Linked DNA regions of Macaca mulatta. The protein of the gene in region 1 interacts with the protein of each later gene in a pairwise test. Links are inferred from orthologs where the notes say so. Each region holds a gene or a part of one and is shown in the gene's direction. Other genes may lie near its edges. The genes, in order: TRIM23, GEM, SNAI1, CARD9, KLHL42, FAM133A and GPANK1.

Region 1 (3,960 bases):
TCGTCAGTGCCACAGGAAGAAACGAGAGACAGAAGGAAAAAGCACTTTACATGCCCGCTGTAATTCATCTTAGTTCACAGAGATCTCCACGGTAGGAGCGGGACGTCAGCTTCTGCCGCTAAAATCTCGTGACTGAAGCAGCATAGATCAGAAAGAGTGATTTACCAGGTATCTATTTCATTCTAGAAAGGAGCCCGTAAACCTAAAAAGCATCCAGGCGAAATCGCTTCCTCCCGCCTGGCGCCAAAGGACAGAGCAGGAGGGCGAGCACTGACGGTGTTTAAGAAGGCTGAGGCCTACATGGCAAAGGCTTCGATAAATAGGGAAGGGAAGAAAACAGAAAACGGGTACTCAGGTTCGCAAAAGTTTACCTTTCAGCGCCAGCAGGTGCTCCTGTTTAGGGGGATTCACTTCCATTTTGACCAGCACTTTTGACCCACGGCCTACGGGGGCTGGACAGGTTCAACTTGGCCCGGAAGGAAACGGAAAACCTCGCGTTTGGCAAGACCAGAAGTCAAACGCACTTTCAACTTCTCTCCGGTGGTGGTACCTTAAATTTTCTTACTGTGTTCTTTACAGACTGGCTTCTTCTCACCAAGTCCATTTCTTTTATCTTAGAAACGTATGCATAAAACACTTTGTTTTCCATCTGCTATCGCACATCGCGACTTCAGGAAAAGAAACCACCCCTCGGTTACAATACGCCGCCTCCCAAAGGCCAACTTTGCCGGAGTTTAAAAAAAATAAATAAATAAAAGAGAGAGTGGCATGCTGGGATTTGTAGTTTATACGAAAATCGCGTTGCATGCAGGGAGATGCCCGTATCCCTTCACCGCCCTCAGTTTACACCCTGGTTGGTTTGCGATTCGAGAGGAAAAATCATTAAAGGAGCTGGAGTTTCACCCCAAAACTTTAATTCTGTTTTATCCCTTCTTTTTTTTTTTTTCCCTTGTCTTTCCTCCAGCAGTTGCAGACTACGTAATGAAAAATAACAAAAGTGCCCATGAGCGAGGCTGTGCAACGAAGTACCCCACGACTGCAGGGAGGAGTAGTAAGAGTCGGCTAAGCGGCGCCCTGTGTCCTACTGCGCCTGTGCGCCGGTAGCGTGCGCAGAGGCCTCTGGGTAGGTGGCTTAACCCCGCCTCTCAGTTGAGGACTCTGAAGGCTGCATCTGTGGCGCTACTCCTACGAGGATGGCTACTCTGGTTGTAAACAAGCTTGGAGCGGGAGTAGACAGTGGCCGGCAGGGCAGCCGGGGGACAGCTGTAGTGAAGGTGAGGGACCTTGCGTGCTCTGTTCTCCACCATTGGCCTCCCTTCGGTTCATCCTGGAGACCTGGCTGCATCGCCACGGCCCAGGCTTCGATGGGTGGGATGCGCGGCCTCTGGGCCCCTTTTGGCTTTACAAGTCTTGTCCTCTCCTCTGCATCCTTTCTCTCCTATGGCCTGAAGTTGCCTGGTCTTCTGCTCATGACATGTCATAATCGGAACATTTATGAAAAGGAGCTTGCGGTCCAGTGACCTAGACCGGTCTTTTCTCCAGGTCCTCTGCTTTTAGTTAAACTCAACAGGCATTAGTTAGCTTAGTATTATAAATTGGCCCATCGTCATCGTAACTACGTACTACGTTAGGTGTTTTAGCTCGTTAATATCTACTTATGAAGTAGATGTTAATTCCCATTTTACAGGGAGGAAATCCAGGTTTAGGTAAACACAGTGTGTGGCAGAGCCCCGGGTTGACCGGCTTTAAAGCCTATGCTTTTCCCTATTGTACTGCGTCTGTAATGAGACATCTGTTACTGGCTGAGCTGCCCTCTCTCCTGTTAGTAGTACAGTCTATTAACACTTTTCAGAAGTCTGCAACATCGTCATAGCTGGGCGTTAACGATAGAGTTAATGAATTTCCTTATGCTTGAAGTTTGAGATTCTACCATGTATAAATGCTCCAGAATGAATTTGCTAAAAAATCATTTGAAATATGTGGCAGTCATTTTTCCCTTCCACACTTGTGCACGGAGAGATCTGGAGGGGAGAACTGATCTCATTGGTTTTATAGAGTAACCTTCGGGAGCATCTCTAATCTAAGAGATTGAAAATTCTCATTCCTGGCTACATATTAGGATCACTGAAGATTTTTAGTACACTACTGATGCACTCCTCCTCCAGTTCTGATGAGGTTGACAACAACAGTAGATTTTAGGAATGCCCATAAGTTATTTTAATATGTAACCAGGGTTAAGAATTACCGAACAGGATAATATATGAAGTTCTTTTAACGTCTTGAAAAATAGACACCTACGATTATTCAGTTAATGTTGGTTTTGTATGACAGCAAGTGAGACATTTCTTCCCACAATTTAGTATCAGTCAGTATTGGTGGTCGTTGATTCAGATGACCTTTAGGTAGTAATGAAGTTATTCTACAGGTGCACAGCATATCTGATAACGCAAAAGAGCCCTCGTTATTAGGCATGTTGTGTGATTGAGATTTTATTTATTGAATTGTGCTTTTGCTAAGTAGAGAATACTTGCAGAGTACTTTGTGAATTAACTTGAAGTTTAAGTTTTATTTCATAATTGGAAGGGGTATCATTGCAGTATCTATTTTGTTGTTACGCTGTTTGCCTTATAGTCTCAAAAGTGTACCAAAGCCTGATGTAACTCCAGTTTGTTACAGCACAGAATTTGATACATCAGAGGCTCACCTTGTTCATTTTCATCTTAACATGTAAAATGTTCCTGAACTGTGCAATAAAATAGTCCTTTCTGACAAAATCTTCATGCCATAATTTGTAGTAGCTATAGGGGTATAAACTGAAAAAAACCTTACTGTCATTTGTATAGATGAAAGCAATAAGTATTTATTGGAAGGTAAAAATTGAAGTATATAATGCTAATACTGTGTAAAATGGCCTTGTGCTTGTGAACAAGTTGATAATTACATGGTTTTTATCATTAGAGAAACCAGTAACATAAAAATCTGATATGGCTAGGCGCGGTGGCACACGTTTGTAAAGCACAAAGTGCCTGGGAAGCACTTTGGGAGGCCGAAGTGGGCTGATCACTTGAGGTCAGGAGTTTGAGACTAGCCTGGCCAGCATGGCCAAACCCTGTCTCTACTAATAATACAAAAAGTAGCCAGGCATTGTGGTGTGGGCCTGTTAATCCCAGTTACTCAGGAGGCTGATCAGGAGAATCACTTGAACCCAGGAGGGGGAGGTTGCAGTGAGCCGAGATTGTGCTACTACATTCCAGCCTGGGTGACAGAGTGAGACTCCATCTGAAAAATAAAAAATAAAAAATCTGATATTTTGAAATAACTGACATGTAAAAATGTATCACAGTTTGTTTTGCTTAGTGAGTCTTCTTAGGCCTTTTAAAATTTAGTCTGAGGCTGGGCACAGTGGCTCACACCTTTAATCTCAGCACTTTGGGAGGCTAAGGTGGGAGGATTGCTTGAGCCCTGGAGTTTGAGACCAGCCTCGGCAACATAGTGAGACCCAACCTCTACAAATAATAATTAAAAAAATTAGCCAGGCATGGTGGCACATGCCTGTGGTACCAGCTACTTGGGAGTCTGAGGCAGGAGGATTGCTTGAGCTCGGGAGGTCGAGGCTGCAGTGAACCATGCTCAGGCCACTACATTCCAGCCTGGCTGACCCTTTTTTTTTTGAGAAAGAGTGAGACCCTTTCTCAAAAAAAAGAAAAAAAAAAAAATATATATATATATATAAAATCTGATTGATTACAGTTTGATTTACATGTAATAAGTTTGAAGCTGTTTTGGCATTTTGTGAAATGTAAAATTAAGAGCTTTTTCCTATCTAGGGCTTTTTGCTGTTAACCACAATTCCTATTCATAGATACTGAGGAAATATTTTCTTGCTGGATTATTTACCAAGTTGATGCAAAATAGTCTAGTAACTTTATTTTCGGACCTGTGTTTGGTTTGCTAATCAAT
Region 2 (4,255 bases), on another chromosome or scaffold:
GGTCATCATCTCTCTAGGTCTCAGGTTTCTTATGTATAAGATAAGTAGGAGATTGGGGCCACAAACCTGAGACTAAAGGAATTCTAAGTTTTCATTACTCTGTGTATTCCACCTTTGCTAGCTTGGGACCTAGCAGGTCTCAGCAGCTGGTCATGTAGCTAATTTCCAAAGCAGATAAATGCCTGCAGGATAACTGTGAATCGACTCTAATCACAGCAGAGTCCACTGCTTCAATAGATGCTGGTGCCTTTGGCTGCTTCCCGGAGCCACCAGCCAACCCAGAGATGAAGCTGGCTGAAAAAGCGGACGAGTATGTTGGAGAGGCCAGCATCATCTCTAAACACAGCATCTGGGAAATACCCATGTCCCCGGAAAGAGGTCATTGAAATCCTTCACTTAGTGGTGCAGTGCAGAGACTCAGGCAAACCAGGCTTTGAGTCCTGACCCTGCCACTTATACCAGCAGTATGACCTTGGGCAAGTTGTCTGGCCCTATGTCATCTTCCTCCTCCATACAATGAGGGTAGCAATTGAGTCACCTTGCAGGAGTGTAGTAAGGATTAAGGTCCCAGGAGGCCTAACAGTACCTACTAAGCAGAGGTCCTCAGAGGTACATAGTAAATGGTAGTAGTAGTTATTATCCTGTGCCCTTTGTTCACAGGAGTCTCTCATAGGGGCCGTGGGCTCAGTGCTCCTCCCCATGGCCAGGCTGTATTGGCTCATGCCCAAGGTGTAGCCTTGCCAGGGAGCCTGGTACAGAGATGCTGGTGATTGAGATGCTGATTAAATTCCCTGATTGAGGAGCCTCAGCATTCTGGCCCAGAGCAGCAGGGCCAACAACATTTAGCACAATCTGCTTGGATCCTCAATTAAATTGTTTTCCCAAACTGCCCTTTTCAAGGTCTTGTCCTCTTTCCTCACCTCTTTCTGGCCCCTTCTCTCTGGGTCCTTGCCAGAGAAGGGAAACAAAGCTTTGTGGGGCTCCATCTGCTTCCCCCTATCCAGAGAGAAGGTGACAGAGGCTGTCTTCCTTGCAGAAGATGCGGTTAAAACAAGCCTTGGCCATTCAAGGTGGCTGCAGTCTCATCCTGGAGGCTAAAGTCTCTGCGCATTCCAGGTTGATCCCTGTTTTCTTGGCAAAGCTGAGCTCTCAACTCAAACCTGCTTCTCCCTCCATCCTTTATCCCGCTAGCTTGCAAGTGTTTTGCTGGGAAGGACGATTAAGTGGCACTTAGAGTATTTTTCCATTTTCCTGTGTTCACCTGGTAAAAAAGAAAATAAAACAAAATAAAGGAGGCCCAGGATTGAACTGTCATTATTTTTTAAATGGAGAGAGAAGGGGTCATGTGACTGCGAGTAACCGATTTAGCCAAGTGGCTGCAACTCCGAGTTTGCTGCAGAGCCGCCCCCTCCCGGCGGGGGCGCTGACGTCACGGAAAAGCCCCGCGGCGGGTCGGCTGGGCTAGTTATAAACCGCCCGGCCGCGGCGGCTGTAGGCGGCGGGCACGGACGGCGGGCACAGCGCAGCACTACCCGCTCCTTGGCCCGGGTATCCCAGCGCAGACCCACGCGATACGCTGACGCCCCGACGCCGATCCGGCCGAGCCAAGTAAGGGGGCGGCCCGGGACGGAGAAGGGAGAGAGTGGGAGTTTCCCAGCCCGCAGAACTTTCGAAGTTGAGAAAAGAACCCCTGAAACGTGCGTTCTGTGCTGGGATTTTCTGGTGGGGGTCAGAGCTTCAAGTGCAAAGGATGTCGCTTCTCATCAGCAGGTTCCTTAGTTCAATTCGGTAGGACAGTCACCTCCTCCTACAGATCGAGTGGTCAGAGAGGGCAGCCCTTAATGATGCTTTATGTATTTGTTGTTTGAATGTAAGTCTGCCAACTGAGGTGCTGCTTTTGAGACTAAAAAACCAGCTGGTGGTCCTGGTTAGTGGCGAGGTGTTGGGGTATGGAGTGTGGGGGTGAGGGTGGGAAAGCACTGTTTGTGCATCTTGCTGATTGCAATGTGCCTACTTACACTTCGTCGCCAGTAGCCCGAAAAACAGACCTTCCGGCTAGGGGAGGCAGTCTGCAAAGGGAAAGTTGTAGCGAAGTTGTTGAATATCATTTAGGGTAGTCTTCAGCCTTCTGATTTGCTTCAAGAAGGGGGGCTGAGAATGGTGGCTCAGGCCTGTGGTCTCAGCACTTTGGGAAGCCGAGGCAGGAGGATCACTTGACCCCAGGAGTTGGAGACCAGCCTGGGCAACATTGTGAGACCACCGTCTCTACCAAAAAATAAAAATAAAAATAAAAAAACTAGTGGGCGTGGTGGTGCAGGTCTGTAGTCCCAGCTCCTTGGGAGGCTGAAGTGGAGTTGGAGGCTACAGTGAGCTGTGATCCTGCCACTACACTCCAGCCTGGGTGACAGAGCAAGACTCTGTCTCAAGAAAGGAATCTGAGTTGAATTAAAGAACTCTTGAGAATGGACGTGGTTTGTTAAGAATGAGGCACTTTCTGTGCAAATTTGCTAGGTCTGAACATGAGCAGATCATTTCTCTGCCAGGGTGTCTAGGTTTGGAGCTGAGATGCTTTAAAAGTGGCATCTGTGGATAAGAGGGCACAGCTGAGGCATAAACTTTAAGCAGAAAATTTCCCCTCTACCCCCAATAATGGCAGGTGGATGCTCTCCAGGCAGCTGGAGAGCATCAAAGCAACTTTACTAAACATGGAAGTTCCAATAAGTGCCTGTCCAGTCCAGCCAGGGTTGCGGTGGGGAGGGGTGGGGGTGATGTCATTGCCACGTGTTTCCCACTGAGGCACAAAACCTGCTGGACACTGGTGCAATTAAGAGCCAAGTTTAGACAAGAGCAGCTAACCTGACCAGTTGGTCCCCAGCAACATTAACTTGTTGCTTTTTAAGTCATCTCTGGAGGCTGCTGGTTCTTTCCAGCTGCCTTTGTGCCAGCTCCGAGTGCAGCTCTTCTTTGATCCAGGTCTGCTTTGAGGAAGGGGTAAGCCCATGGGCAGTGGTTGATGTTAACAGTATTATTTTTTCCATGCAAATGACAGTCTGCCTGAGGAGCTGGTTACTGACAGTGTGAGCAGTGTGTGTGTGTGTGTGTGTGTGTGTGTGTGTGTGTGTGTGTGTGTGTCCAGTTGAAAGCCTGTCTTGTTGGGCTTTGGAGACTGTTTAATTGGTGTTTTTTATGTTAGGGATACTTGCTTCTCATCTCATCTAATATAATATTACTGATGACTGACCATGTATTTGAGCAGAGCTCTCACTCATGCTTACTAATGCTGCCATCTTGGCTGCTTTGCTCCCCAGGACCCAACGATGACTCTGAATGTCACCATGCGCCAGGGCACTGTGGGCATGCAGCCGCAGCAGCAGCGCTGGAGCATCCCAGCCGATGGCAGGCATCTGATGGTCCAGAAAGAGCCCCACCAGTATAGCCACCGAAACCGCCATTCTGCTGCCCCTGAGGACCACTGCCGCCGAAGCTGGTCCTCTGACTCCACAGACTCAGTCATCTCCTCTGAGTCAGGGAACACCTACTACCGAGTGGTGCTCATAGGGGAGCAGGGGGTGGGCAAGTCCACTCTGGCCAACATCTTTGCAGGTGTGCATGACAGCATGGACAGCGACTGCGAGGTGCTGGGAGGTAGGTGTCCCAGCCCCAGTGGGCTTCTTTCCATCAGGCGTGGCCCAGGAAGAAAGAGCGAAGGTGGGTGGCTTATTTACCTGCAGAGTTGGGAGCTAAGGTTTATGCATTTTGGACAATTGATGGGGGAGCTGAGTCTCCAGAAAAGCCCAAGCACAGGCTCTCAGGGCAATAAAATGAAAAAGCTTGTAGACAGGACCAAAATCTATTGAACCTGGGCCAGAAAGGGAATTTTTCAGATTTCAATTCTAAATGGGTGGGGGAAGGCTGATTAGATTGGTCATAGCCAGAGGGTCAGCGCCCCACCTCTGACTTCTGCTGACTCTGACTTGAACATTCTTCCCGGAATTCAGTATAGGCACAGCCTTTTTCCATGGTTATACCTAAAACAAGCCAGTTGGAAAAGCTGTTAGGATGGCTTGATCAGTTTGCTTCTACCAATATTAGAAACTTTTGTGGGTGTAAAATAGTTCAAAATCTGTATTTGAAATAGTATAATAATTTTTTAAAATGTGAAGTATAACAATGATACTTTGTATAGAGTCTGACAGCTTTTCAAGACAATTTTCCCTGTACAATTTTATTTCATCTATTTATTGATTGGAACCTG
Region 3 (3,933 bases), on another chromosome or scaffold:
AGGGAGAAGATTCCACAGGGTTCAAGCTGGCCAGGTTCTACCATTCCTGGCCCGGCGCCTGACCTCTGAGCAGTGAGGGTCAGTGAGGTATCTGGGAGGACTGGCATTTCGCGGGCTTTATTGGCATCTTATTCGACTAAGGCTACCCATTTCTTTTCCTTCCTGCACCAGTAGCCCTGATTTTAACATGTAAAGGTCCAACTGCTGGGCTCCCCGTGCCTGCCCAGCTCACAGGGAGATTTGAACCCCTCAGGATGCTGCTCTCCTGCCTGCCTCTCTCGCCTCCCATCCGGACATTATTTTAATGTAAAGGCATGGCTGAGGCACAGAAATCCCCTTGAAATGTATCATTTCGGTCCTCATTGACTCCCATTGTGTGCCTTAATGGTGGGCCCAGTGGGTGGGGGCTGGGAGGGGTGGAGCAGGTGCATGGGGCAGGGGTGCCCAGCACCTGTTCCAGTCGCAGCTGCTGGCGCACTGCGTGGCAGGCCCCTTTAATCCGGGGGTATCGCATGTACAGTGCCCCCCTCGGCGCCCTTTGTCCCCACCGGCCTGGTGCCGATTTCACACTTGCCAGGAGTACCATGAAGGCGTCTGGGGGGCGAGGGATCTGAGGAGTGGGGGTCAGTGCCTCCTGCATATGCGTGCAGCCCCCGCCCCCAGCCCATCATGTCCTAGAATGTCTCCTTCCCCTTTTGTTCGGGTTTGTGTCTCATCACACTTAGAGCACTTACTGTGCAGGAGGTAGTGCTCGGGACTTCACCAACAGCCCTGGGAAGGGAAGGGGGGTGCCATCGTAACTCCAGTCTTACAAATGGACTCCAGCCCCTTTTCCAGATCTCTAGAGTCAGCCCTTAGTTCACAAGGGTGAACTTACCCTTCTCATTCACATGAAGACTTAGAATGCAATCAGCAAACGCTTCAGGCCTGGCGTGGGGAGGCTGCTGAGTAATGGCAGAGTGGAGTAGTGCTCAGGCACCCCTCCCCCAGTCCTCTGTGTCCCCCACCCTTTGGAGTGTCGAGTTTCCATTTCTGCCCCATGAGAGTGAGTCCAGCTCTCAGGTGCTCCATAAGTCCCTATGGAATGCATGGGTCCCATTGGAATCATTCTCTGGACTCTCTCCTACCCTGGTAGCTCAGTGTAGCACCCTAGGCACCCAGGAGGTGATGGAATGAATTCACTCTCAGCTCTTAAATTCCATCCAGCGCTGGGATTTCACAGACAGGCCCTGGCCTCGCGGGCATGTCAGGCTGGGCGTGAGGGGATTGGAGAATTGCATATTTTTTAAAGAGACTATTCAGTATTATAGAGTAGTGTCTAGCACATAGTAGGAGATCAATAGATTTAAAAAAAAAATTATAGACAGGGTCTGGCTTTATTGCCTAGGCTTGTCTCAAACTCCTGGCTTCAAGCAGTCCTCCTGCCTCACTCGGCCTCCCAGAGTGATGGGATTACTGGCGTGAGCCACCACACCCGGCTTCAATAGATTTTTGTTTAATGAGTTATTGTTATGACCTTTTATGTGGAAAATGCTGCATCCCCCAGAAAAAAACAAACAGCATTATTGGTGTTTTTGGAACTGTAGCCTTTTGGTTGGAGCAGGGATTATTACAAGGCATGAGTGAGGGGCAGACTCCTCTGAGGCCTTTTTAATTTTTAAAGCAGACTTAATTATTCTCTAAGGGCTTATTGAGGACTTACTGGGTACCCAGCTCCATATGCAAGACTTTTTCCGACACAGCCTTGGCCAGGCAGATGGTGTGTCAGAGGCACAGGTTTCTATAGCCTCTTCGGTGTTAGAAAGGGGCCCAGGCCCTGGGCTGGGGCTTAGAATGGACTCAAAGAAGGCCCCTGCCCTTATGGGACTCAGCCTGATTGGAGAACAGACAAGGAGATTTGGGATTACAGCACCAGAGGTGGGGTAGTGAGGAAAGCAGGCTGCTGGCCCAGCCCCAGGAGTGGCCTAACCAGCTTGGAGGTGGGGGTGGGGAGGCCTCTTAAGGCTGACTCTGGCTTTGGCCCCGATAAGTGACAGTAGGACGAATCAGTAAAGATGTTCGGTCGTCGTTGACCACTTCGCACATCTCTGCGGGATGTGGATGAGTACTGTGCCCTACCTTCTGTCACTTACCAACCCCTATGAGTGGGGGATGGATAGCCCGATTTTACAGGTGGAAAAATGGAGGCTCAGAGAAGCCAGACAACTTGCCCAGAGTTGCACAGTGGGAAGCAGCAGAGCTCCGTCAGGTCCCAGCCTTTGGACTCTGGCTGCGTGTTTGAGTCCTGACTTTCCTGGGATCGTGGGATTCTTTCGGGGTTTAGGGTATGCGGGGAGGGATTCCCATCACTGCCAGCTGTTGTCCCACGGCTCATTCGGCCTTTCTGGCATTCTCTCCCCAGGCGAGAAGCCCTTCTCCTGTCCCCACTGCAGTCGCGCCTTCGCTGACCGCTCCAACCTGCGGGCCCACCTCCAGACCCACTCGGATGTCAAGAAGTACCAATGCCAGGCGTGTGCTCGGACCTTCTCCCGAATGTCCCTGCTCCACAAGCACCAAGAGTCTGGCTGCTCAGGATGTCCCCGCTGACCCTTGAGGCTCCCTCTTCCTCTCCATACCTGCCCCCTGCCCGACAGCCTTCCCCCAATCCAGCAGGAAGGACCGACCCCACGTCCTTCTCACTGCCATGGAATTCCCTTCTGAGTGCCCCACTTCTGGCTGCATCAGCCCCACAGGACCTTGAAGACCATTTTCTGGTTCTGTTTCCTCTGCCTGGGTCCCTCAGTGGGCTCTGGAGGAGGCCTTCCCGTGGCCTTTTCTGTGGAGGGAGGGCAGCTGGCAGTCCCAGCCCCCAGGGGATTCCTGAGCTGGCCTTTCTGCATGGGTTTTTGTATCCAGAGCTGTTTGGATACAGCTGCTTTGAGCTACGGGACAAAGGCCGACAGACTCACTGGGAAGCTCCCACCCCACTCAGGGGACCCCACTCCCCTCACACACACCCCCCTACAAGGAACCCTCAGGCCACCCTCCACGAGGTGTGACTAACTATGCAATAATCCACCCCCAGGTGCAGCCCCGGGCCCTGCGGAGGCGGTGGCAGACTAGAGTCTGAGATGCCCCAAGCCCGGGCAGCTATTTCAGCCTCCTGTTTGGTGGGGTGGCACCTGTTTCCCGGGCAATTTAACAGTGTCTCAAAAGGGACTGTGAGTAATGGCTGTCACTTGTCGGGGGCCCAAGTGGGGTGCTCTGGTCTGACCGATGTGTCTCCCAGAACTATTTTGGGGGCCTGACAGGTGGGCCTGGGAGGAAGATGTTTACATTTTTAAAGGTACACTGGTATTTATATTTCAAACATTTTGTATCAAGGAAACGTTTTGTATAGTTATATGTACAGTTTATTGATATTCAATAAAGCAGTTAATTTATATATTGAAAAGAGTCTGGTGTAATAGAGGAGTGGGTATTTTAAAAGGTCTTTGGTAGGGGAGGAGGAGACAGGAATTCCTGAAGCTTAGATATTTCTGACACAGCCTTAAATCTTGTCCTTGGAAACGTCACAGGGCTTTGGAGTCCTGGGTGTTCTGTCTGCTGGTGTTTGGGTGAGCCAGCAGCATCCATATGAGCTCTTCACTATACACTGTGGCTCTTGTTTACTTTCTCATTCTTGAATTTTGAAACCGATTTGGCGCATGGGGTACAGAGCTGGCTTCCTGGGTCTTATCAACTAGGCAGGCTGCAAAGCTGCCCCAGCACTGCAGGTCTTTTGGGGCCGCTTCCCCCACATGCGAGTGGAATGCGACCAAGGAGACAGAGGATGTCCTTCCTGTTTCCAAGGGCTCCCGGCCCCCTCGGGCCTCCTTGTCAGTCCCACACCTCCGTCTTGCTGCTGGGTACCAAATGGCCTTTGATGCAAGGAAATTGGCTGGCTGGAGCCAG
Region 4 (4,146 bases), on another chromosome or scaffold:
TGCCCTCCCAGCAGAGAAGCAGGCTTTCGCCCATTTCATGGAAAGCACCTGTGGCTTTGTTCTTCATGCTGAGCCGGCACCCTCCCCAGATGGCTGCCAGCCCTCGCACCGCCCCAGCTGACCCAGGGGGTTCCCTGGAACAGGTGACCTGGCTACCCAGACACGATGGCAGCCCCCACAACTTTCACTGTCCTTTTGCGTGGGCCTTTCTTGGCATAAGACCAGCCCCCATCTTCTCCGTCTGTCCCCTCACTCCCTTTCCTTCGTCTCTGTGGCAGCAGCGCCCCCAGGCCCTTTGCTCTCTGGGTTTCACTCCCTCACTGGAAGCACCGTGGGGCCTCAGCCCTCGGCACCCGGCAGACAGGACGGTCCCATGGCCGGCCGCGCTCCTGAGCATGTGTTGCTGTGCCTGGTTCTCTAGCAACTGGTGCCTAGTCTCCTGGTGGCCACTCTGACCTGTGGGTTATTTAGTGGTATATTATTTAATTTCCAAATATTTAGGGATTTTCCAGATACCTGTTACTGATTTTTAGCTTCCGACATGGTTAGAGAACATGGTATGTGTGTTAATTCCTAAGGACGGACACCACAGGGAAATCACTGGGGTCCCTCGTTTTACAAGCTGGGGAATCACTGGGTCATGAGGGCCTGGTGCCAGCTCGGGCCCACTCCCCAGCAGGGCCCAGGACGGCGTTCCTGCCTGCACACTCGCTCATGCTGCTGGTGAGGGGCCCAGCCTGGAGTGTGGCATTCCCAAGAGCCCCAGAGGACCCCTAACTCCACTCCTCACTGCGTGATGTCAGGCCTGAGGGCCGGGGGCTGGGAACGGTTAGGCGAGCTCCGCACCAGCTTCCTGGCCTTCCAGCCTGGCAGCCCCCTTCTCGAAGCTGTTGGGTGGCAACTCGGTTCGACCAGCTTTACCGGTGAGGCGGGGCCTGGGGGCTCCCCAGCCTGCAGGGATGAGGCTCCAGCAGCCCCACGCTGAAGTGCATAGTTCAGGGCAGACCCTGCTGCCCGTTGTCTGTGGATGGGGGGCGGGCTGTGCCCTGCCATCACCGGTGCTTCTGAAGCTGGTTTGGGGGACCCTGGGAGTGGCCTCAGTCCTCACGTGCATCCTGGAGAAGAGCAAGGATGCCTCGTGACAAGGATAATGATACCGAGCGACACTTCTGAAAGGGACGCTTCTCCCCCGTGTGCAGCTGGGTGGTGGCCGGTGCCATGGCCCCTGGCAGGCTGCAGTGGCCTCCTGGGCTCCATAAGGTGGGCTGCAGCCCTTTCATGACCAAGGCGTGTGCTGGGCATGCTGTGTGGCTGTGTGCCCCCTGCACATGCCCTGCCCCGCTGTCCTGAGATGCCGGCGAGGGCAAGGGTGTCCGCACAGGGCAGAGCATGCCCTCCTGAAGAAGCCTCCAGAAACCTATGACCAGGTCAAAGCGGCTGGGTGCGGTCTGGCCTCGTCCAGCCTCCTGGGGGTCTCTGCTGTCTCTTCTACTTGCCAGGTGCCCGGGCTGGGCCTCTGGGGCATTCTCAGGACCCCTGGCCCCCGGCCAGGCTGGGAGGGCTGAGAGCAGTTTTCCTGTGGAGGGCAGAGGACTTCCACTTCCGTCTGCCTCTCGGGGCCTCCTGGGCTGCACGAATCAGAAGGCAGGCCACCAGGGACTGTCCCCCTGTGGGAGGACTGGCGGGACTGTGGAGTTAAGCCATCAGGAAGTGCACAGGCGTCCGGCACGCTCCTCCCTCCCTGCAGCCCCAGGCAGCATCTCCCCGAGGCTCCGCGTCCCAGGCTCCTGGTGCGTCTGCCGTGCAGGTGGCTCCTTGGAAGACCCTCAGGTGGGTGGGTCTGGTACTTTTCTGAAAAGTGACCAAGAAGGTCGGCGCCGGCTTCGTTCAGAATCCTGGCGCTGATCCCCGCAGAGCAGCATGAGGCTTCCCACAGGCAGCCAGGCAGCCTCCGCCGCGCTGCCCCATCCCTTTCATGGCCACTGGGCGGAGACATGTTCATTTCAGTGGCATTACGGTGGCAGGTGGGACCCTGCATTTCAGGCTGGGGAGGCAGGAAAGGGGCCCAGTGTTCCCAGGACTGTCCGCTGTGTGGCCGGTGTTTCTATTCAGCCCCTTGTCTGTCAAAACTGTCCTGAATGGGGTGACAAAGTACAGTGGGAAGTTGAGAAATTCTTCAAAAGACCAAGACCAAACACTTCAAAAGACCAAGTGTCTCCAGGAGTAGTGACCCAGCTCCTTTAGGCAGGAAACCAGCATTTCCCAGTGGGGCTGGAGGCTGAGGACCGGGGACCTGCGTGGGAGGCAGGACCATGTGGCTGTTCCCAGCCTTGCCCCAGTCCCAGAGGGAGTGGCTTTCAGCGGCTGAGGCTTCCACCGTGCTGGCAGAAAGGGACAGCAGTGGCTGGGCTGGTCCCAACATGGGTAGTTCTCTTGTTTCAGCCAGTGGGATGGGGGTCGGGCCTCATCGGGGGCAGGAGAAGAGTCCAGAGATTGACGGGTGCCCGTCACCTAAGAACCTGGAGAAAACAGCACAGCAGCACTCCTGGCCAGCCAAGGGCAACACCGACAGCCCCTCCCAGCTTGCGGGGCCGGCGGGGAGTGACAGAGGCACGCTCCTGTGGGCAGCTCTTCCCGGCCAGTGCAGCGACCCTGGCAGCTGGGGCAGGGCTGGGTGGCCACTCTTGCATCATCAACAGCCGGCCATGGAGGAGGGAGGGCACAGCGCGGGATGTGAGCAGGCGTCGGTCAGGGAAATGGGGAAGTTCCGCCAGAACCGGCTCCCCCAGCTGCTGCCCTAGTGGGAGGGTCATTGGCCAACCTGCTCTCACCCAGCTTGGGCTGGCCGTAGTGCCAGGCAGGTGCCCACAGCTCCTCCACCCATGGAGGTGGCTGCCCCTGTAGGCTCCAGGGCGTGGTGGGAGTGTCCAGGAGGCGGAGGCCAGAGGCGAGTCATGCCGTGGAGGCAGTTCCTCTCTCAGACCCCATCTGTGTCTCCCCCGCTGCATATCTGGGTGACACGGATGGCCAAGGGGCAGGAGCAGGGGCTGGGAAAGGCTGTGGAGGGGCCCTCGGCTGGTCTGGCGGGGAGCGGGTCACTGTGTCTCTGCCGCCTCCCTGGGGGATCCAGCATGGGGATGGGACATGGAGCTGGGTACCTCTCCTGGATGCCCCTGGGCTGACCCCCTCGACAGCCCTGACGAGAGCCCTGGCCCAGCGTCTGAGAAGGAGCGGGAGCCGGGCCTGGGTGGGGGCAGGAGCCGGCGTCACTCTCAGCGGCTGCCCCACACCCCCCAGCCTGCCTGCGAGGCCATGTCGGACTACGAGAACGATGATGAGTGCTGGAGCGTCCTGGAGGGCTTCCGGGTGATGCTCACGTCGGTCATCGACCCCTCGCGCATCACGCCCTACCTGCGGCAGTGCAAGGTCCTGAACCCCGACGATGAGGAGCAGGTGCTCAGTGACCCCAACTTGGTCATCCGCAAACGGAAAGTGGGTCAGTGCTGCCCCGCAGGCCCCAGGTCCCAAACCCAACCAAGGAGCCCGCTTGGAGGTGGCTGCACGCTCTGCCACCCTGACCCTCGACCCCAGGAGAGCCCCGCCTGGCTTTGCCCCTGGCCTCCCAGTGAGGCCCAACCTCAACCCTGGCACATGGCCACCCTATCCCCCAGCCTCTCCTGCCAGCTCGGTGCTGCCAAGAGGGGCAGTGGGACTCCCACCACAGCGGGGGCTCCTGAGACAGCCAAGGGATGGGTGGACAGCACTTTGTCCCCAGCCTAGTACCAAGACCCACAGGGTGCCTCATCCACGACCCAAACCACAGCACACCTCATCTGCATCCCAGCCTCCACCTGTCCCTGCCCCCGGGCCCACCCACCCCAGCCCTCTGCCTCGCCTGTGCCCCGCCCCCAGTTAGGCCCCTCTGGCCCGCAGGCGTGCTCTTGGACATCCTGCAGCGGACCGGCCACAAGGGCTACGTGGCCTTCCTCGAGAGCCTGGAACTCTATTACCCACAGCTGTACAAGAAGGTCACGGGCAAGGAGCCGGCCCGTGTCTTCTCCATGATCATCGGTGAGTGACGGGGAAGGCGGTGGTGGGGGCGGGCAGTGGTGCTGGGTCCTCTGCCCAGCCCCCATCCCTAGGAGC
Region 5 (4,160 bases), on another chromosome or scaffold:
TCGGCTCCCTGCAACCTCCGCCTCCTGGGTTCCAGCAATTCTCCTGCCTCAGCCTCCGGAATAGCTGGGATTACAGGCGCGTGCCACCACACCCGGCTAATTTTTGTATTTTTAGTAAAGACGGGGTTTCACCATGTTGGCCAGGCTGGTCTCGAACTCCTGACCTCGTGATCTACCCACCCTGGCCTCCCCCAGTGCTGGGATTACAGGCGTGAGCCATCGCGCTCAGCCAAACTGAACGTGTGATCTCTCTTAATAGTCCTCAGATGATGGGGGCAGGGTAGGTGGAGAAACGGGGTGACAAGAAAAGCTACCTCTTGCAGACATCTATGAGCTGATTTTGTCAGATCTTTTGCGACAGTATAACATTCCGTAATGGCTAGTCCAAGCAGACTGAAGTAGACAAGCAATGGCTCATAGAAAACATGGTTTAAAACCAGAAGCCACGTGATGTAACTTTATTTAGTCGAACTGCGCTTTCATCTTTCTTTTAATAACTTAGGGAGAACAACGGGCCCCAGTGGCAAATGCAAGGTCCCCTGCCTCCCAACCCGATTCCTCTGAGAACCTGCTGCCATCTGCCTGGACCTCCTGTAAGATGGCTCCTACGCGACGACCCTACCAGAGAATCAGCTCTACGTGCCACCAACATTGCCACCAACATGTCCACAGATTGCCTGCTTGCCTCAGCCCACTGACACTCGATGCCGGACTGGGCCAGAAGGACGATCCTAGATTTGATGCCTTTTTGTCTCCCTGGACCAGAGACTGCCTCCTCTTTCCTCCCACGTTCATTTCTTTTTCTTTAGCCCGTGTAAAGCAGCGTGGGAGAGAAAACTAATTTCTTCTCCCTGGGGTACCCCGGAGCATCGCTGCAGCCCCTGGCAGGCGGCGGAGCCGCGCGCCCCGGGCGTGCCGAGAGGCTGCGGGGACGCGCGCCCTCCGCCTCCCGCAGCTGCGCGTCCGCAGCCGGGGCGCCCAGGCCCGCAGCCTCCCGGGCCTCCCCGAGGGCCGGATCCAGCCTGCAGGTCAGGCCGGCGGCCGGGGTCCCGCGGGCGGAAGTGAGAAGGGCGGCCGGGGAGAAGGCTGCGGGCTGGGGGCTGGGATTCCCTTCCCGCCTGGCGCCGCCTGGGAGAGCCCGCGCGAGGACGCCCGGCGCGCTCCGCCGGCCCTTTTTTGGCGCTGAGGAAAAGGAGAAGGGCAGAGCCGCCGCCTCGCGGGAGCGGGCCCCGGGAGGAGGGGCCGCTGGAGAGGCCGGGCGAGCGCGGGCGGCCCTCACCTCGCCGCTCCTCCCGGGCCGCCATCCCTCGGCGCCCCGCCCGGAACCGGCGCGCGCGTGGGGGCGGGGAGGCCGGCGCGCAGATCTGGCGGTGAGCGCCGCCGCCCCGGGGCCCCCAGCCATGTCGGCCGAGGAGATGGTGCAGATCCGCCTGGAGGATCGCTGCTACCCGGTGAGCAAGAGGAAGCTCATCGAGCAAAGCGACTACTTCCGCGCCCTCTACCGCTCCGGCATGCGCGAGGCCCTGAGCCAGGAGGCCGGCGGCCCGGAGGTGCAGCAGCTGCGCGGCCTCAGCGCGCCGGGCCTGAGGCTGGTGCTGGACTTCATCAACGCCGGCGGGGCCCGCGAAGGCTGGCTCCTGGGCCCGCGCGGGGAGAAGGGCGGCGGGGTGGACGAGGATGAGGAGATGGATGAGGTGAGCCTGCTGTCCGAGCTGGTGGAGGCGGCCTCCTTCCTGCAGGTCACGTCTCTGCTGCAGCTGCTGCTGTCCCAGGTGCGGCTCAACAACTGCCTGGAGATGTACCGCCTGGCGCAGGTGTACGGGCTGCCCGACCTGCAGGAGGCCTGCCTGCGCTTCATGGTCGTCCACTTCCACGAGGTGCTGTGCAAGCCCCAGTTCCACCTCCTGGGGTCTCCTCCCCAAGCTCCGGGGGATGTCAGCCTGAAGCAGAGGCTGAGGGAGGCCCGGATGACTGGGACTCCTGTCCTCGTGGCCCTCGGGGACTTCCTGGGGGGACCCCTGGCCCCTCACCCCTACCAGGGGGAGCCCCCGTCCATGCTCAGGTACGAAGAGATGACTGAGCGTTGGTTCCCGCTGGCCAACAACCTTCCTCCCGACCTGGTCAATGTCAGGGGCTATGGGTCTGCCATCCTGGACAACTACCTCTTCATAGTGGGCGGGTACAGGATCACTAGCCAGGAGATCTCTGCTGCGCATTCCTACAACCCCAGCACCAACGAGTGGCTCCAGGTGGCCTCCATGAACCAGAAGAGGTAAGCACCCCGGCAGAGTGCTGCTGCCTTCTCATTCATTCACTTGTTCATTAGTTCATGGGCCCGGTGTTTACTGAGCCAGTAAATAGGGGAGGGTGTGCTGAGGTGGAAATGACATCTTCAGGAATGTTGTTGGCCTTGGTGCTGGCAAAGTTCCCAGTGAACTAAGAAATTGCGAAGAGGAACTCCCCAGTGAGGTCAAGTAGTGGAGTGGTTTTTTGGCAGGTATTGTGCCTTTAGGTGAATCTGCTTTCTTTGTCTCTGTTCTTGTGAAAAAAGATGTCGTGATTTCCTATAAGAATACTTTAAAAGAAAATTGCTCCTTAATTTTTAAAAAAATTTTTCTTAGTTTTTAGGATTCGATCCTGATGGTAATGACACACTGGACAGTAACCTGTGACACTGACTTTGGGGGATTTTTTTCTGTTGTCAGTGACTGTGACAACAGAGAGTCTTTCACACTGTGACACCCATCATGACCAAGAGATAATCACTGGAAATGTATTAACATTTGCAATAGGGGTTGCTTTTCTTATTTTTTATCTTCTCTTTTGCTTCCTTCCCTGGACAGCCATCGTCATGACCCAAAGCTTGAGCCTGGAAGTGTTCAACTATAGAATTGGAATATTTTCATTTACCCAACCTTCTCCCCCTCCCATCCTGCAAATCCCTCCTGCCTCCAATATGGGTGACTTGAAGAAAGGAAGAGGAGGAGCTTGAGGAGTGGGATGAGAGGGGAGAAGGGAAACGAACCAGGGAAGGAATATGAAAACAAGAGCAAAGAGCATATACAGGAAGAGATGGTAGGAAATAAAGACGGTAGCGCCGAGGAGGCCTCAGAGTCATTCAGAAGCAGGGAAGAGAATCAATGTAACTCAAGAAAGAATGAAAATACCCTTTCTTCCCATCCACGTGTTTCCATCTCAATCCTCACAGGGTCCTGGTCCTGAAGTGTGGAGCAAGGAATTGGGGAACTCACAGCTAGGCGAAGGAAGTCTTAACAGTAACAGAGAATCCTTTATATATCTATCTATTTGACTCGAGGGTCCTCCTTGGCCAGGGATTATTTGGGGAAATAACTGGCTTTATTTCTCCTATAATATGGAATTCATTTTGAAAAGTATGCTTTTTTCCCTGATAATACATGGTTACAGAAAACTAGAAAATGGAAAAGAATGAAGAAGCAAAAAGATGATTATTACCACTCGTTCTTCCTAGAGGCAGTAACTGCAGGTTGGCATATTTCCTGCCAGCCCATTTTTAATGCATTATTTGCACCATTGAGATGATACCATATTTAAAATTTGGTATCAGAAGTGTTATTTTAAAACATTCTATGCGCTGTAATTGAAACAACAAAGAAACATTGTGTGGCTATGGGTGGTGGTCTGATTAGGGGTGGGCGGCCCTGAGTTCTCTGTCTCCTCTTGCATGCCTCCAGCTACACATCATTTGACGCTCACCAGGCCATCCTTAGTACCGCAGTTCCTCACAGTTCTTTCTTCCCTTCATACATCCTTGGTAGTCTTTGTCTTTTTTCTAGGAAGGCCCTTTTCATCCCCTGAAAAAAAAAAAAAGCATTCAAGTAATGCATGAATGCATGCTTCTTAGAAAAACTGCAAATTACACAAAAATACAGAGTAAGAAGAGGAAATGTCTGCCCTCAGGGTACAGAAAAAAAGTGTCAGTGTATCGACAGACTTTTGTTACCTTTAGATATTATAAATGTATAAACATTTATATTTGTAAATTACATGTATACTTATATAAATACACTTAACCCTTAAGTAATGTGGGGGCTAGGGACACCGACCCCTGCACAGTCAAAAATCCCCATATAACTTTTGACTCTCCCAAAAACTTAACTACTAAATAGCTTACTGTTTAC
Region 6 (4,109 bases), on another chromosome or scaffold:
CGCCTATCATATAGAGGCTTGTTGAGTTCAGCATATTTTCTTTCAAGATCATGAATTGCTTTTAAGAACAGGGTGTCTACCTTGTCACATTCTTCTTGAATGTTTCTAAGCGCTTGCACACGATTTCTAACTGCCTGAGGCAGCCTATCCACGAAATTTGTTCCCAAGGGGGCCCGCCGCGCCCTGCTGGAAGGCTCAGGTACCCTCTTCTTTCTATATAAGCGGCTGCGGCTGCTAGTGCTGCCGCTGCTGCTGCTGCTGCCGCTGCCGCTGCTGCTGCTGCTGCTGCCACTACTGCTGCTGCCGCTGCTGCTGCCACTAGTGCTGCTGCTAGAGCTACTGCTGTCAGATTCTTCCCCAGAATCACTAGTCGAGCTAGCCATCTCCTCTTCGGCAACCCCATGGGCGACGGGTTCCGAGACCATTTTAAAATCTGCTTCTGCCATCTTGCAAGCCTGAAAAACTCTACCGCGGAGACCGCGCGACCAGAGATGGGCAGAAAATGACTCACGGATGCTTGAGTGGCGGCGGCGGAGGCCCGGGCTGCGGAGGTGGCAGCGGCGATGGCAGCAGCGGCGCAGAGCGGAGCTGGAGCTGGGGATGCAGAGGCCGGCGCTGAGGTGGCAGCGGCAGTGGAGGCCTGGGCGACAGCGGTGGCGGCAAGGCCTCTCCCGGCTGCAGCTACACAGTGCCGAGATGTACCGCAGCCGAATGGCGCAGTATGAGACCCCGAGATCTCTTCTCGTTTTAGATCGCGAGCCCCCTCCCCTCGCAGTCAGACCTCCCGTTAATTTCGTTCCCAGTGTGCCTTTAGTTCGCTCCTCATTTGCTGGTCCACCTTAATTGACAAACCGTACGCCCAACGAACGGCCAAACGCCACTACTCCTGGCTCCGCCCACCTTCCCAGACGCTGCTCGCCGGCTGAGGTGCGACCCCCTGGAAGGTGTCCCCGAGCCCCCCAAAAAGTCTATATTTATAGTTTTATAATTAAAAGAGGAAAAAAAAGCGTAGACATGAGGTAAAAATACCAGCCATAGTTCCTAACAAGGGCAGAAGAGGCGTGTCTTCCTTCTCCCATCCGCCCATCCTGAATTCCCGTTTAGTTTGTCACGGGTCTCTTGACAAAAATCTGTAAAAGAAAAAAAAAAAAAAAATTGAATGAAAATGGTCCAAATGGCGTCATTGGGTAGTGTGACTGTGGACGATTTAAAAACAAAACGATTTTCTCTAAATATTCTATGAGCAGTATTTTTACACTGGATAAAAAAGGGGAGAGTCGGTTATTGGCAGAGGGGGGAGGGACTAGACAGCAGGCGTATTGCATTCCACGAAGCTGATTTAATAAGTGCTGTCTGTGATGTTTGGCAAGCCTGGTTTATATCCATCTACAAGGTTTGCGAACCCATGTTGCCGTGAGTCAGTTACACCATTTTTATTATATTTCTCTTTTTAGGCTGGCATATTATATACCCCAACCTTGCTGCTAACTTGCCACGTAGCCCTTCTCAATGCTTGCAACAACCTTGTAGATAAAACAATGAGTGTATTAAATGTTAGGTAGTATTGTTAAAAAGCAAATGATTTGCGTTATACTTTTGTGCAGCAGGTTTCAATTCCAAGAACAGTGGGATGGGAGGGGGAATTTGTGCTAATGAATGTGCATCTTCTGTCAGTGTATGCGATGTCATCTGCCACCAATTTCCTTCTAATGTTGTAAAATTCTAGCCATACTATAGTATGATTTACAAGTCCAGTAATATGTGAATAAACTTTTGCAAAATGAAGTTTAAAAACGGGTATTTGTTATTTTTATTTACAGGATTTTTTTTTTCTGCTACAGAACAACTACCTTGGTACAATAAAAAAGACGAGTATTTACTTTTCATTGAAAGGTAAGGATCATATTTAGCACATTTTAAAGAATGACAAAAATTACTCATCTCCATCTGAATAAAAGTTTACAGGATGCAGTCATTTAGAGATTTATTTTAGATAATAATCTTGATAATTCTATGGAAACAGGAAAATCCACAGAGGTAATTTGGCATACTAATGTAGACAATAGCCTACTTAACCACATTAACTATCTTAACCTGGTCATAGAATACAAGTTGTAAATTAAAATATGAAATATGATAAATTATTCATTTCAAATGAGGAACTGTATTAAAGTTAGATTAATCTTTATAGAATTTGTGCTTTGTCATGTAGTCACGTTTTTAAAAGTTATGAAATGCTTTTCTGTCTCATAAATGCATTTACTTTTATTGTATATCTCTAATTGTCAAAGTCTGTGAACATTGCAAAGATAAAACCTCAATACAGAAAATTCCAACAGTAGTAAAAACACACAATCTTAACCACCAAATGATAAGAATTACTAGCATTTTGATGCACTTCCTTCTAGAAATTTCCTTGTGCATATACATACCTGCCTATTTATGTATACTGCTTTATCTATGTGATACCATATTATGTTTTGTAGTCTTTTCATTTAATTTATCAGTTACTAATGGCTATATTTTCATGGCAAATGATCAACATCTTATTTTTAAATAAGTGCATATTCCATGGAAATAATTGCCTTAATTTATTTGAACAGATTCCTCTTATAGGGTGGCTATTTCTATACCATCTCTCCCCTTATATACATATTATTTTCCTGCTATAATAAAAGTGTCCCTGGATACCTAAAGCATATATTTCTATGCACTTCTGAAAATTGGTCATAAGATAAATTCCTAGAAATGAATGGCCTGGGAATGATCATTTCATATTATGGAATTATTATTGTATACATATTGCCAAACTCTCTGCAGAATGATTATCACAATTTACAGTTCCAACAGTGCATAAAGGTTCATTTTTTTTGTCATTCAGCTAATATATTTTTGTGCCTGTCGTATGCTGGGCAAATGTGGTAGAGAATTGTAGTATAATGGTGAATGAAACTTACTAAGTGCATATCCTTTCGCTGAATAATTTTAATCAAAGCATATGTTATAGAAACAATGATTTACATCAATGGTGTTATACCATAAATATTGTTCTGAGACTCACTATTTCTTTTTAAATTATGGAGATTTTACAAAAAGTATGCTCTTATGTTTTAAACTTTGTAGCATCAGGAATTAGTATTTTAGAGTGAGTCATGAGGTAGGGATCCAGATTTTTAAAATACTTATTTTTATTAGCTAGCTAATTCTTCTAGTACCATTTATTTGGTAATCTTTCTATCTCCTGCTTACTTGAAATGCTACTTTGATCACATTAAATAAATTGCTTGGGTCTGTTTCTAAATTCTTTTCTGATCCATTAGTTGCAAACAACTAATGAGTCGGTGTTAAGATAACTTTACATTTTGTGAAAATGATATGTGTTCATTGATAAAGTCAGACAATACATTGAAATACAAAGAAGAAATTAAAAGTAACTCAAAATAAAACTGAGAAGTAATCACTACTTACATTTACATTTGTAATCAACATCTCCAAATTAATTTATCAATATTAGTATTTGTATTTCTTAGATTAGTGGTAAGATTGTGTTTTCATATGTTTATGTTTATTTGAGAACTGTCTATTCATATTTTTTGTTTTCTACTGAATTAAGCAAGAAGTTAATCAATGGTGAAATCCTAAAGGTAAAATGATTTTGGCCTTGACTTACTTAAGACAACTATGATTTCTTCAGGAAATAATGCATGATATTGGGCAAATGTGACTAAATTTCATATTAAAATTGGTTGGGTTTTTTTTTTGGGGGGATGCTTGGGGGTTTTTTTGGATGCTTTTCAAGGATTACGGATAACTACTTAACCACTCACACTGATCCTGGAAAAGTTTGGAATGGAACATGGAGATGAAAAATAGAAAAAAGCTTACAAAAGCATCATATAAAAATAATGTATTAATCAACAATTGTGATTTTCAATTTGGAATTATTTTTTCCTAGATATAGGCAATGAAAATGTTGAAAGTAGATGATTTTTTCTAATCACAATTCTCTACTTTAATTGTGTATCCATAAGTATCTTGTAACACACTTTTATTTTTGTAGCTTTTTTTTGGTTGATTAGTTTATTTAATTTTATGTAGTAGGTATCTAA
Region 7 (3,976 bases), on another chromosome or scaffold:
GCAGAGTCAAAACTTGGGCCCCAGTTTTGCCACTTTAGCACAGGTTCGTCGGGGGTTATTGAGGGGACTCTTCGTTGATGGGAAGTTTTCAAGTAGTATGTAAGAGAACAGTGTAGAAGTGGAATACGTGAAGGAACATCTGGTGGGAAGATATGTGAAGCCAGCAAGTAGGGAGGTCGAAGAGAACTCACTTCACAGAAGAATTCATTGCCACGGAGCCCACAGAACCAGGAAATCCAGGACACCTCCTCTGAGCTGCTCATCTTCACGTCAGCTGAAAAAAAGAGTGTCAGTAAAGCTCAAGTTCTCCTTCCCTGCCTCGGGTATCCTCCCTCCTCCCACATTAGAACCACCCTTTCTTAAAGGATCCCAAACTCTGAAGCACTCCTCTCCAACTCCTCCAATTTACATCTCAGTTCCCTTTTCTTTGACGTTAAACATTCTTTGGGGTCCCACCACTTGAAAGAAGCCAACAGATACTTTGACCCACCAGCCCGACCCACGTCCCTGGAGCTCCCGAAAGCCAGGGCCCTCTCTTCTCTGTGTCAACTCCGGCAGGGACCTCGACTCAGGCTCCGTACCAATGCAAGTCTCTGCACGACCCCGGCGCCTTTCCCAAGGATTTCAAAGTTTATCACTCTCAAGCAAGAATCGGGCCCCTCCTTTTCTCAAGGGTTGGGGGCGACTGTCAGGTCCCTTTCACCGGATTCCACACATCCCCCCTCCGCTCCTCAAGCCACCTCTCCCTCCTTGCCGGACCTGGTTGCTTCCTCCCCCCGCCCCCATATCAAAGTGCGGAGACCCATGTGCGGCTCCCAGCGACAAGCGACTAGGAGCAGCGAAGACCTCAGACTCACCAGCTGGACGGGGACCAGGACTGGGGTGGGGTAGGGAAGTTGCTACTTCGAAGGAACGGCGGCGACCGCTACAGCGCAGGCCGCGGACCCGACCGCGGCAGGCGAAGTGGGGTGGGGGGAGTGGAAATTGGGGAGGGTGGGGAAGAGGGCAACACGCAAGCGCCAAGGGTCAGGTGCCGCGGTGGATGCCGGGACGCGGAGTCCCCGGTAGAGAGAGAAACCGGCTAAGTGAGGGAAAGCGAACTACCAATCCCAGGATGACCCGCGCACGACCTGGCTGTCACGAATCCCCGGAGGAGGACGCTTGCGGGCGGGGCGCAACGAGAAGCCACCGGAAGCGGAAACCAGGTATGGCGTTCGGGGCCTGGGAGCCTGGGCAATACAGTTGTGTGCTCACTGGGCGAAGAAGCTGACTTAGGGCGGGGAAAGGAGGGAGCCAGGCTGGACCCCTCCTCGCAGCTCTCCTCACAGTTGCCCTCTAGTCCCGGCGCGGTGCTGCTTCCCTGGGGACTGGCCTATCCTTGGCCAATGCGCTGGGTCCTTATTGCCTGTTGGGCCCCTAGTGCGAGTCAGTCCCGCCAGAGACCCTTGACGGGCCTTCTGTTTTACTCCGGGCTCCGGCCTCATGAGGCGAGAGGTGCGGCTTGGCTCCGTGCGTAGGGACTTGGGTTGGGAGGGCTGGGCTGGGCTGGGCTGTGTGAGAACCAGAACGGCCCAGTGCGCTAACCTGAGGTGGTGCCAGCCATTCTGCTCGTCCCCTTGCACTTCTCCATTTCCCCTTAGTCTCTAAGTGTGACCTTCGAACCCTGGTCAGAGTAATGGTGAGGGGCAGGCGTGACGTTATTTCATTACACGGCTTCTCGGCATTCCACAGGTTTCCCTCCGCCTCCTGAGGGCCTTTCCTAACCCAGAGAGTGGATTCCTAGCTCCAGAAAATGGGCTTGGAGCGGGGGCCACGTAGAGGAAGGCGAAGGGCATTGTGGGGGCGTTATGTAAAAGTAGGACCCCAACCGACAGATCCTAGCGCTCGCGCCACCTGGGCGCGCGGAGCTTTGCTCGTTTACTATTGGAAAAGTTCCAGCGCGGGAAACTGAACCGGGAGCTTTGCGCACGCCTGAGCCATCAAGTAATGTGGGTGGTGGTTTTTGTTGTTGTTGTCGCCACGCATGCGTCTCCGTGCCGTGTGGCTATTTGATTGTGTCAACTCTGCTGATCAGAATAGCGCCATTTTGCGGTACGGAAGCTACACGGCAACACGTATAGGAGCCTCTCCCCGAGATCTTCTAGGGAGTGACCCGTCTATTTTTGTTTGGGAAGAGGAAACTCCGAAATGGGATCACGGAAGACTTAAAGGGCCAGGTTTGATTTTTTTTTTTCCTACTGGTATGTCTGTTTTACGGGGTGAGAAAGTGATTTCAGAAAGAGGCTGGTATTTATTGTTGGTAAGGATGGGGGTGGGGGCCGGACGCAGGACCTCTGGACGACTGTCTCATGGAGTTTGATTAATTTTTACTAAGGAGCAAAGTCGGTATTGTAGGGTTTCGTGTTTTTACGCATATACTCTCTCCCTTAGACCCTGCAGAGTCTTAAGTTGTGGGGTCACTTTAGCGGCAGGAAAGTGTTTTTGACTACTTTTTCTCATCCCAGCAGGTCCCTGAGGCTCTGGTTGCTACAGAGTCACCAGGAGCTTGGCTTGCTTGTCGCATCCTTCCCTTGCCTGGTATCATTTTCTCAGTTCTCCCAAAAGCCATGTCCCAGCCCTTCCTCATCACCTTCACCCCAGCCACTGACCCCAGCGACCTCTGGAAGGATGGGCAGCAGCAGCCACAGCCCGAGGAGCCAGAGTCCACCCTGGATGGAGCTGCAGCCCGAGCTTTCTATGAGGCCCTTATTGGGGATGAGAGCTGCGTTCCTGACTCCCAAAGATCTCAGACTGAACCTGCCAGAGAAAGAAAGAGAAAGAAAAGAAGAATCATGGGGGCAGCTGCAGCAGAAGCAGTGGCAGAAGGAGTATCAGGAAGATATGGACAAGGGAGATCCCTTGAGGCTGAGGATAAGATGACTCACCGGATACTGAGGGCAGCCCAGGAGGGGGACCTGGCAGAACTTAGGAGACTGCTGGAGCCCCATGAGGCAGGAGGAGCTGGGGGGAATATCAATGCTCGGGATGCCTTCTGGTGGACCCCACTGATGTGCGCTGCTCGAGCGGGCCAGGGGGCAGCTGTGAGCTATCTCCTGGGCCGTGGGGCTGCCTGGGTGGGGGTCTGTGAGCTGGGTGGCAGGGATGCGGCTCAGCTCGCTGAAGAAGCTGGCTTTCCTGAGGTGGCCCGCATGGTCAGGGAAAGCCATGGAGAGACAAGGAGCCCAGAGAACCGGTGAGGGGAAACTTTAGCTCAGACCCCTGTCTCATTGTGTTCTGCCTCTCCCAGCCACTCCACACCAGAGGCCCCAGCACAGTGCTGAGTTCTTTCCTTATCCTCATGTGTAGGTTGACAAGGTAGTATAGTCAAGTGGTTATGAATATGAGCTACCTGGATTTAAAGCCTGATTTCACTTACTTGGGCAAACAACCTAATGTCTACATGTTCCAGTTTTCTCATCTTAGAAATGGGGTAGTAAGGATTGTTGTTAGGATTCAATGGGTTAATATATGTAAAATGCTAGAATAGTGCATGCTGCATAGTATGCAATATATGAATGTTAGCTGTAGTCATTATCACTAGTATCCCTCCCCTTGCCCAAGAGTTTGCTAGGCCTGGTTACAATTTTTTCTTTTCAACTCTTCTGCTCTGGGTCCCACAATGGTTTAAATAAATTTGTTTTTAAGACCAGTAGTGAGAAGGAGGGGAAAAGTAGAGTAAGGAGTTTGATCTGTAACTGAGTGAACAGTCATTTCAGATAACACCACCACCTTTGGACCAGCCTGGATTCCCTCATTATTAAGTAGGAAGGAAGTCAATTTGTCCCTTTTTTTTTTTCCCCAGACAAGGTTTTACTCTGTCACCAGGCTGGTGCGCAGTGGCGTGATTTCAGCTCACTGCAACTTCCACTTCCCGGGCTCAAGCATATTTTTTGTAGAAAGCAGGTTTTGCTGGCATGGTGGCATGTGCCTGTAATCC

What was found.
Region 2: the proteins of TRIM23 (region 1) and GEM interact in binary tests that used the Homo sapiens proteins (3 or more experiments, as listed by UniProt). The two-hybrid records come from large-scale screens. The link is inferred for Macaca mulatta from reciprocal best matches to the Homo sapiens genes TRIM23 and GEM.
Region 3: the proteins of TRIM23 (region 1) and SNAI1 interact in binary tests that used the Homo sapiens proteins (3 or more experiments, as listed by UniProt). The two-hybrid records come from large-scale screens. The link is inferred for Macaca mulatta from reciprocal best matches to the Homo sapiens genes TRIM23 and SNAI1.
Region 4: the proteins of TRIM23 (region 1) and CARD9 interact in binary tests that used the Homo sapiens proteins (3 or more experiments, as listed by UniProt). The two-hybrid records come from large-scale screens. The link is inferred for Macaca mulatta from reciprocal best matches to the Homo sapiens genes TRIM23 and CARD9.
Region 5: the proteins of TRIM23 (region 1) and KLHL42 interact in binary tests that used the Homo sapiens proteins (3 or more experiments, as listed by UniProt). The two-hybrid records come from large-scale screens. The link is inferred for Macaca mulatta from reciprocal best matches to the Homo sapiens genes TRIM23 and KLHL42.
Region 6: the proteins of TRIM23 (region 1) and FAM133A interact in binary tests that used the Homo sapiens proteins (3 or more experiments, as listed by UniProt). The two-hybrid records come from large-scale screens. The link is inferred for Macaca mulatta from reciprocal best matches to the Homo sapiens genes TRIM23 and FAM133A.
Region 7: the proteins of TRIM23 (region 1) and GPANK1 interact in binary tests that used the Homo sapiens proteins (3 or more experiments, as listed by UniProt). The link is inferred for Macaca mulatta from reciprocal best matches to the Homo sapiens genes TRIM23 and GPANK1.

Annotation. Positions count from the first base shown.
Region 1 is NC_133411.1:73,711,484-73,715,443, reverse strand, and holds the start of TRIM23 (E3 ubiquitin-protein ligase TRIM23), read left to right. Parts: upstream 1-1,160; 5' UTR 1,161-1,193; coding exon 1,194-1,274; intron 1,275-3,960. Other genes in the region: TRAPPC13 (trafficking protein particle complex subunit 13), read right to left, coding at 372-417.
Region 2 is NC_133413.1:104,656,929-104,661,183, reverse strand, and holds the start of GEM (GTP-binding protein GEM), read left to right. Parts: upstream 1-1,455; 5' UTR 1,456-1,608; exon of another isoform or gene 1,609-1,697; intron 1,698-2,818; exon of another isoform or gene 2,819-2,991; intron 2,992-3,308; 5' UTR 3,309-3,317; coding exon 3,318-3,708; intron 3,709-4,255. UniProt on the Homo sapiens protein: Could be a regulatory protein, possibly participating in receptor-mediated signal transduction at the plasma membrane. Has guanine nucleotide-binding activity but undetectable intrinsic GTPase activity.
Region 3 is NC_133415.1:102,827,301-102,831,233, forward strand, and holds the end of SNAI1 (zinc finger protein SNAI1), read left to right. Parts: intron 1-2,401; coding exon 2,402-2,586; 3' UTR 2,587-3,433; downstream 3,434-3,933. UniProt on the Homo sapiens protein: Involved in induction of the epithelial to mesenchymal transition (EMT), formation and maintenance of embryonic mesoderm, growth arrest, survival and cell migration.
Region 4 is NC_133420.1:6,136,361-6,140,506, forward strand, and holds the start of CARD9 (caspase recruitment domain-containing protein 9), read left to right. Parts: upstream 1-1,346; 5' UTR 1,347-1,419; coding exon 1,420-1,830; intron 1,831-2,342; exon of another isoform or gene 2,343-2,424; intron 2,425-2,996; exon of another isoform or gene 2,997-3,144; coding exon of another isoform or gene 3,145-3,297; coding exon 3,298-3,496; intron 3,497-3,933; coding exon 3,934-4,071; intron 4,072-4,146. UniProt on the Homo sapiens protein: Adapter protein that plays a key role in innate immune response against fungi by forming signaling complexes downstream of C-type lectin receptors.
Region 5 is NC_133416.1:30,134,240-30,138,399, forward strand, and holds the start of KLHL42 (kelch-like protein 42), read left to right. Parts: upstream 1-1,360; 5' UTR 1,361-1,400; coding exon 1,401-2,272; intron 2,273-4,160. UniProt on the Homo sapiens protein: Substrate-specific adapter of a BCR (BTB-CUL3-RBX1) E3 ubiquitin-protein ligase complex required for mitotic progression and cytokinesis. The BCR(KLHL42) E3 ubiquitin ligase complex mediates the ubiquitination and subsequent degradation of KATNA1.
Region 6 is NC_133426.1:99,944,481-99,948,589, forward strand, and holds the start of FAM133A (protein FAM133A), read left to right. Parts: upstream 1-1,309; 5' UTR 1,310-1,413; intron 1,414-1,820; 5' UTR 1,821-1,893; intron 1,894-4,109. Other genes in the region: NAP1L3 (nucleosome assembly protein 1-like 3), read right to left, coding at 1-446.
Region 7 is NC_133409.1:150,654,814-150,658,789, forward strand, and holds the start of GPANK1 (G patch domain and ankyrin repeat-containing protein 1), read left to right. Parts: upstream 1-1,176; 5' UTR 1,177-1,205; exon of another isoform or gene 1,206-1,494; intron 1,495-2,074; 5' UTR 2,075-2,240; intron 2,241-2,504; exon of another isoform or gene 2,505-2,507; 5' UTR 2,508-2,606; coding exon 2,607-3,232; intron 3,233-3,976. Other genes in the region: CSNK2B (casein kinase II subunit beta), read right to left, coding at 192-263.